Macaca fascicularis: one gene and its partner. The protein of the gene in region 1 purifies or fractionates together with the protein of each later gene. This does not show direct contact. Links are inferred from orthologs where the notes say so. Each region holds a gene or a part of one and is shown on either strand. Other genes may lie near its edges.

Region 1 (3,809 bases):
ATATAGTAATATATATAGCTATATACATACATAAAAAGTAATACATATAGCTTTGGTTTTGGTTGGACTTACCTGTACACTTGAAAACCTTTGGTGAACAGGGCAGAATGAGGTAACAGATGCGTATCAGAAGAATGTTATCTTGCAAGTAATAGAATCTCCTTAAACACATTGAGGTTTAATTATCTCAGTACAACATCAGGTCTGGGGTAAAAGTCTAAGTGCTGCATTGACTCAGTAGTGTCATCAAGGACCTGGGTTCTTTCTGCCTTTATGCTCTGCCATCCGTATCACACTTCAGGCCTTTTACTTCGTTTATATGGAACTCTACACTGTGGGCCTCACATCCATAGTCTAGGCAAGAAGAAAGAGAAAGAGGAATTGAAAGGGCAGATGGCTCTGTTGTTGCAAGCCCTTGCCTTTTTTACTTAGTGAAGGATGCCCTTACCATGGCCTCTGCCTATACTTCACTGGCCAGAATTGTTCACTCTACCAGCTCAGCTGCAAGGGAAGGGGGATGGAATGATCTTTATGGCCACGTTTCTACCTCCAGCAAAGCAGGGATTTGGTTCTCAAGAACAGGTGGAAGATAAATATTGAGTATAATTAACAGGGTCTGTTACAAGATTATATTCATCAAGATGCATTTACTTTAAGAAATTATTTTTCAGGTAATTATTTTTACATTTGTCATTATTATAAAATTCTTGATAGAATGCTTATATTTTCCTCAGAATATATTTCTAGGTTATAATAAGAATGGAGGCATACATAAAAATGTGTTTTTATGTATGCATGAAAATATAAAAGATACTAATTAAAAGTTTATTTCTATAAATGGTACTGGAGTTGAGTGTTAGTTTTATTAGTGGGCATTTGTTTTAAAGAAAATTGTGATAATTGGTCTATTTTTAAACAAATAATATTGCCTCATTTAAACATCAATTTCCTGTATGTTCTTCTCCCATTTCATCTTCCCTCTATAGTTTAGTATGGAAGGACTGGGAGAGTAAAGTACTGATGCCAGTGTATTATTTTCAAATCATTTTAGAAAAACTAATAATTAATTTGATTAGTTGATAGTCTCCTCTTCATGACGTTTTATGAGCTTTGTGTCTTGGCTGGGAGTGGTGGCTTACACCTGTTATCCCAGCACTGTGAGAGGCCGAGGCGGGTGGATCACGTGAGCCTCGGAGTTCGAGACCAGCCTCAGAAACACGGCAAAACCTTGTCTCTACAAAAAATACAAATATTAGCCAGGTGTGGTGGTGCATGTCTGTAGTCCCAGCTACTTGGTGGGGCTGAGGTGGGAGGATTGCTTGAGCCTGGGAAGCAGAGGCTGCTGTGAGCTGAGATCACACCAGTACACCCTAGTCTGGGTAATAGAGCAGGAAGATCCTGTCTCAAAAAAACAAAGAACTTTGTGTCTTGAAATTGCTACATTTCCTTATTATGTAGATCGATCGATCGATCTATCTATCTATCTATCTATCTATCTATCTATCTATCTATCTAATAATATAGATCTATTTTTGAGATAGCTTCTTGCTCTGTTGCCCAGGTTGGAGTGCAGTAGTAGTGTGATCACAGTTCACTGCAACCTCCACCTCCTGGGCTCAAGTGATCCTCCCACCTCAGCCTTCCAAGTAGCTGGGACTTTAGGCAAATGTGCCAACGTGTCTGGCTAATTAAAAAAAAATTTTTTTTAATAGAGACAGGGTCTTCCAGGCTGGTCTTGAACTCCTGGGCTTAAGTAATCCTCCCACCTTGCCCTCCCAAAGTGCTGGGATTACAGGCGTGAGCCACTGTGCCCAGCCCCTTATCATATTTTTAGAAAATTATTATAAAATGTGATTCTGCCATGCACTTGGCTTATTTCCACTTCCATATTAAAATACTGTTATTTTATTTCTCTCCCCAATCTTTTCTCCAATCAGGCCTCAATGTTAGCTGCAGAAAATGACCCTTATGGACCTTTGCCACCAGGCTGGGGTAAGCCGTTATGTTTTTGCTAATGATCCGTAAGGGAGATATATATATCTCCATATATATATCCCTTATTTTATATGTATATCTCCCTTATATATATCCCTTAATATATACCCCTTATAATATATAATATATATTATTATTTATATAATATATAATTATTTATATAATATATATTATATATAGAATAGATTATATATTGTATATATTCTATAAGACATATAAGTGATACATATATCCCTGATATATTTTTTTATATATTTATATATAATATATAATATATAATCATATATATATTCCTTATTTTATATATAGATCCCAAATAGTTATTAAATATTATGGTCACTTTATATTTCAGAGAAAAGAGTGGATTCAACAGACAGGGTTTACTTTGTGAATCACAACACAAAAACAACCCAATGGGAAGATCCAAGAACTCAAGGGTATGTATATACAGCAGCCTTAAATCATCTTGCATATATCTGTAGGTAGAATCAACCAACCTTGAATGAGATATTTTTAGTACCTAGAAAATGTTCATCTTGTGATTTTAACTTTATCTTTTAGCTTACAGAATGAAGAACCCCTGCCAGAAGGCTGGGAAATTAGATACACTCGTGAAGGTGTAAGGTACTTTGTTGATCATAACACAAGAACAACAACATTCAAAGATCCTCGCAATGGGAAGTCATCTGTGTGAGTGAAAACCTGAGGTTCTCCTTTAAATGTTGCTTAGTGAGCACATGAGAGTTAGTCTCTAACTTATCCTCAAGTTTAGAAAAATATTTTACTTTTTGGTTCAAGAAAACCTACACAAGTGATACGTTAGTATAGCTGTCTTTGCTCTCATTTGACGATGGATTTGCAGCATGTCATTCCTTAATAATAGCAATGGCAACTATTTATGTAGTGATTACTATGTGCCAAGGATTGTTCTAAGTACTTCATAGGTATTAACTCATTTTATCTTCCAATAACCCCTTGAGGTAGATACTATTATTTTTCTCTTTACCAAGTGAGGAGAGATACAGGGAGTGTAACTAACTGTGCAAAGTTATAAGGCAAGTAGTGGAGCTGGTTTCTAACTATGACAGTCAGTCTGTCTCTTGACTCTGTGCTCTTAACTGCCACATGACACTGCTGCAATGAGATGGTCAGTGAAATGATTTTCCAAATTTAAAGATAACTGAATTAAGCAGTTGACAGATGTCTCCTTCATTCTTACTCTAAGGTGTAATGTCTTTGCATAACTAAGAAAGTAGAAGCAATCATAAAAGGTCTTTTGCAAATTTGTACCACCATATCTGTGCATCTCCTACCACCTCTCCTCCCTCCTGTTCTGTAGATGAACTGTCATTGTTATTATCAAAGTCTGCTCCCTCTGCTGGTACATTCGATTCCTACCACCACTTTTCTACTTAATTGCTCCAACAGTTACCACCTTTGTCTTGAATTATCAGGTTTTATTTCTCCACTAAATTATTCTTATCAGCTGTTATTTCTCCTAGATTTTAAAAAAAAAAGCAAAAAAAAAATTACAACTCTACCAAACCAATGTGTTCGATTACACAGTTCATTTGTGTGTGTGTGTTTTTTTTTTTTTTTGAGATGGAGTTTCGCTCCTGTTGCCCAGGCTGGAGGGCAATCAATGATGTGATCTCAGCTCACTGCAACCTCCGCCTCCTGGGTTCAAGCGATTCTCCTGCCTCAGCCCCCCGAGTAGCTGGGATTACAGGCACCCGCCACCATGTCCAGCTAATTTTTGTATTTTCAGTAGAGATGGGGTTTTGCTATGTTGGCCAGGCTGATCTCAAACTCCT
Region 2 (4,422 bases), on another chromosome or scaffold:
CTGACTCTCCCCAGGGAAGCCAGAATGGAGGGATTCATAGCCCTCCCAGGCTCAAGAGCCTGTGACTCCCTGCCAGTCCCACCCCTGCAAAACCCCAGTGTCACCTGATGGATTCCCATACATCCCTCAGAGGCTAGCTACAGGCTAAAATGTGTGTTCCCCACAAGGCAGAGGTCAGAGCAAGGCAAGTAAGTGCAAGCTCCTGGCCTGCTGGAGGCTCCTGACCTGCTGGAGCCTCCGCCTGTCTGCACCTGAGCACCAGGGCCTAGCCGGGTAAGCAAGGCTAAGGGTGGGGTGTGTGCAGGAAATCCCAAGAGGAGAACAAAGAAGGGGGGCAGTTCTCAGAGGTAAACGAGTATCTGGCTTCTTCAACTACTCACAGATGCCACCAAGACCCTAAACTCTATACAAAAGCTGAAAACAAAAGTTGAGAAGGACTATGGAAGACCCTGGCACTTGACACCCAAGGGGATGTGGGGAATGATTATACGTGGGGAATAAAGACGGTGCTCTTTACTCCAGAGAGGGATTACCCTGCAAAGCTTTGTCGAAAGTATACAAAGGCACAAATTGGGCATTTGACGAAGACTTTTGATTCTAGCTATGATTTGTGTACACCCAATTTCACAACTTAAAGCTGCTTGGACATAGAAAAGCACAGTATGGGTAAGGGCACTTGCATACAAATGCTAGAAGCCTGGGTACAGACTGGGGTAGATTCCGGAATTGAGGTAGGAGGAAATAGTACCTACTTCTTTGGTCTCTCCTTGGCCTGCCCTCCCCTTTCACTGCCTATGAAGTTGGAGCCTACATCATGTCCCTGAAACTGCACAGAGAAAACTACGACGTGTACCCTTTTAAGTTTACCGGAGACTTGAGATAAAGTTGCCACTTGAGGTGTGTGCTGGGATACCCACTCCCCTCGGCTGGGCTAAGGCGCCTCTCCTGGTGGCTACCACGCTCCAAGGGCACCCGGGGGAGCACCCGCAGCTGCGCCGACCCGCAGTGTCACAGAGAGAAGGGCAAGGAAGGGGACGGGGACCAGGAGCCAGGGCCCCGCCGGCCGGCGCAGCGCGCTCACCTGGCCCGCAGAGCCGGCTGAAGTGGTAGGGGTTGCAGCACACGGTGGGGCCGTCGGCGGCGGCGGCGAAGCTGTGGCAGCCGCACAGTGGCTTCAGCTCCACTGCGTGCTGCAGGTCGGGCCAGCGGAAGAGGCGGCCGAGCAGCAGCTGCGGCGGCGCGGGCTGGCCGCCCAGGCGGAGGTCGGCTCGCGGCACCAGCACGCAGCCGCCCGGCACGCCGCCGCGGGACTCCACCGCCTCCAGCAGCGTGTCCAGCGAGCGCTCCTTGAGCCGCTTCAGCAGCGAGTACGTGACCGTTTTGAGTTCCTGCTCCAACAGCAGCAGCCGCGAGCGCGCTTCGCGACTCCGCCCGCCGCCCGCCGGCTCCAGGGCCGCCCCGGCCAGGGGGTCGCTGGCGTCCCGGGGCGCGCCGGCGGCGTCCCGCTCCGAAAAGAGACAGCAGGTCACCGTCTCGCAGTCACTCTCGGGCAGCCAGCCCGGGCCTCCCGACTCCGCCACGTCCAGCAGGGAGCCCCCAGCGCCGGCCCCCGGCTCCGACATGGGCCTCGGGGGGCCCCCTGCGCGCCGGCGCCTCCCCGCGCCCTGGGCGCCTCGCTGTCCCACTGCGTCCCGGGGCCGCCGCGGGGCTACCGGGCGGACTTCGGAGCGGCCGCAGCCTCCGCCCTCTCTTGCCCGCGGGGCCGGCTCAGCTCGGCTGCCCAAGCTCCCATCCTCGTCGCCGCCACCACCGCCGCCGCTGCCGACTTCCTCCCGGTCGGGGACCACACGACTTCGCCAAAGTCGCCGCACCAGCCCCGAGCGTTTGGACCTGAACATACGATATCCTTTGGCGCCAGGGGTGGGGGGGAGGCGGTCTCCGGTTACCGGGGGTCCGTTCCCTCAGCGAGGCGCCGGCTGCGCGGGTCGCAGCCCCACATGAAGCTCCGCCGCGGAGCGCCGTGCAGACCGTGCACAGCCTGTCGTCGAAGGGGCGCCGCAGGGCGACAACATGAGGGAGCTCGCCAAGGCGGGACGGCCGGGAACACGCGCACGCCGAGCCGCAGTCCGCGCGCGGCCAGCGGCTACATGGACCGCAGCGTCGGGGCTGCTCAACAACTCCAGTCCCCGCGCTTTAAGGGGCTGCAGGCGGCGCACCGCCAGAAAGACCCCACATGGGCCGGCGAGCCTTCAAAAGTTGCGCGGCTGGTCCATGAGCACAAAGCGCTCGCGCGAACCCCCAAATGTGTTTGGAAAGCCCTCCCTTTCCCCTGCCTTATTTTAAACCAAAGCGCTTAACTACATGGGCTTTTCCTGCAGGATCCGAAAGGCAGGCTTGTTGATAACCCCAGCTCCCTTCTTACTCCCTGCAAAAAGAAAAAAAAAAAAAAGGAAAGAAAGAAAAGGAAATCCCAAACAAAACCTAAATCCCTGGATTTGCATGCACGAAAGGCCAACGCCGTCTCAGGTCCCAGGCGCTAGATGCACTTGGAGCGAGTTTCTCCTGGACGCGGGTGTCAACACATGAGTGGAAGCTGTAAAAATCCCAAAGAGCTGCTGGGAATCCTTAATTAAAAATGCAGTCCACCGAGGCAGAGGTCGCAGCCCGCCCCACGCTGCCCTCGGACGCTTCGTGCGCCGACGCTGCCGAGGTCGCCCCCCCTCCCCCCTCCACAAAAGTGCCTCCCGGCGGCCCCGGGGTCCCAGCGAGGTCTGGCGAGGCAGCGCCCAGCGGCTCTTTCTCTCGGATCGGCTCCCTCGATCGCTCCCCTGCTCCGCTCGCTCTCTCTTTTTTGTTCTCCTCAAACGCACACTGAGGGCCCCCGGAGGAGCGCCGCGGAGTCATTGGCTGACTCCCATCATATGCCAGTCTAGACACTTTGGCGGCTCCGCGGCGCTGATTGTTGCGCAAACAAGGTTTCAAGTTTCTTAACTCTTAAAGGAGAACACGTCCCATTGCAGGGCCGGAGGCTCCAAGGGGCCGGCTCCCGGGGCGGGCCGAGCTCTGGCCCCCGCCCCACACCGCCCCGGCACCCCCGCCCAGGGCCTGACAGCTCCCGCGGCCCGCTTTCTGCCTCGCGTTGTGCCCAGGGCACGGATGCGAGCGAGCACACACGCGCCCGCGGACACACACACACACATACACACAGGGTTACATGAGCCACGGGCAGGCGCGCGAGGCTCGGCGGACCCACTGAGACTCGGACGCAAGCGGGGCGCTTTGCCTCTCCCTGGCTTGTGCACAAACTTATAAACACACTTTGCACTTTACAGTTGTTCCAAACCCCCATCCCAGGGCAGGCTAATAAAAATGGGTGTGCGTGTGTGCCTTCCTGGGTTGAGCCTGAGGAGCAGGGGGCGGCGGATATGTTGGGGTAGCGGATCTTCCGTGACTGCACGAGGGGCTCTACGCTCCTTGCACAAAGTTGGGGGTCGCTCTGCCGGGCCAAACAGGGAACTTAGGGCGCTTTGCGCACGGTGGCTCCAGGCTCGCCCCGAGTGGAGAGATGGAGAGGGTGGTGTAGAGGCGGGGAGTGTCTACTCGCTGGCTCCTCTCGGTCGCCACGGCCCTCCCTCGGAGCGAGGCGGGCCGCCGGCCGGCCGGGCCGCCTCCAGGCTGGGTGCTTCCTCTCCCCTCTCCAGTTTACTCTCCGCACCTCGGAGAGGGCTGTAGGTGAGGGATCACGCTTTCCCTAGCGAGGTTTCCATGCGAAAATTAGGGTGAGTTGGGGGCGGGATCCGGGGCGCGGCGGCAGCAGCCTGACGCCTGGCGCGGGAAGGGTTAAGGCCGCTCCTGCCCCTGGAGCCGGCGCGGCGGGGTACCTCCTCGGGCGCGCTAGCTCGTCCGAGGGTGGCAAAAGTTCAAGCTTGTAAAGTCGGGATTGGTCCCGCGCGGAGGGGAAAAAAGGCCTGGGCCCCCCTCCCCCCCCGGGCGCGGCGCCGATTGGCCAGGCCGCGGGGCCGGCACCGCCCTCTCCCCCCGCTCTCGGCGGCCCCACCCCCGGCGCGGCGCCCCGCCCCTTTCCGGGCAGGAGCCTGGCCCCGCGCTGAATGAAAGAAATTCCGCTACTCTCATTGGCCCGGGGCTGGGCGCCATTCTCCCGCGGTGGCCGCGGGGCGCCGGCGAGCGGGTCTCCCTGGAGGGTGGCCACGCGTGGGGCTGGTCTGTGGCGTGCGCGGCGGTGCGAATCCCCGGCCGTGCCCAGAGGCTGTGTGCGCTGGGGGAAGGGTGGCATTTGCAAGGAGGATTCAGAACCATTTGCTGAGCTTTACCTGGAGCCAGGTACTGTTCGCGCTGCGCTCTCTGGGAGTGGCGGTTGCTCCCCGAACGAAAGATGGGACTGAGACACTTCCTCACACCCAT

Evidence for each region.
Region 2: the proteins of WWP1 (region 1) and SMAD6 purify together in Homo sapiens (affinity purification with western blotting; 3 studies listed by BioGRID, with this or other methods). This does not show direct contact. The link is inferred for Macaca fascicularis from reciprocal best matches to the Homo sapiens genes WWP1 and SMAD6.

Annotation. Positions count from the first base shown.
Region 1 is NC_088382.1:96,182,143-96,185,951, forward strand, and holds part of WWP1 (NEDD4-like E3 ubiquitin-protein ligase WWP1), read left to right. Parts: intron 1-1,937; coding exon 1,938-1,992; intron 1,993-2,347; coding exon 2,348-2,432; intron 2,433-2,556; coding exon 2,557-2,685; intron 2,686-3,809. UniProt on the Homo sapiens protein: E3 ubiquitin-protein ligase which accepts ubiquitin from an E2 ubiquitin-conjugating enzyme in the form of a thioester and then directly transfers the ubiquitin to targeted substrates.
Region 2 is NC_088381.1:43,376,378-43,380,799, reverse strand, and holds the start of SMAD6 (mothers against decapentaplegic homolog 6), read right to left. Parts: upstream 2,874-4,422; 5' UTR 1,899-2,873; coding exon 1,082-1,898; intron 1-1,081. UniProt on the Homo sapiens protein: Transforming growth factor-beta superfamily receptors signaling occurs through the Smad family of intracellular mediators. SMAD6 is an inhibitory Smad (i-Smad) that negatively regulates signaling downstream of type I transforming growth factor-beta.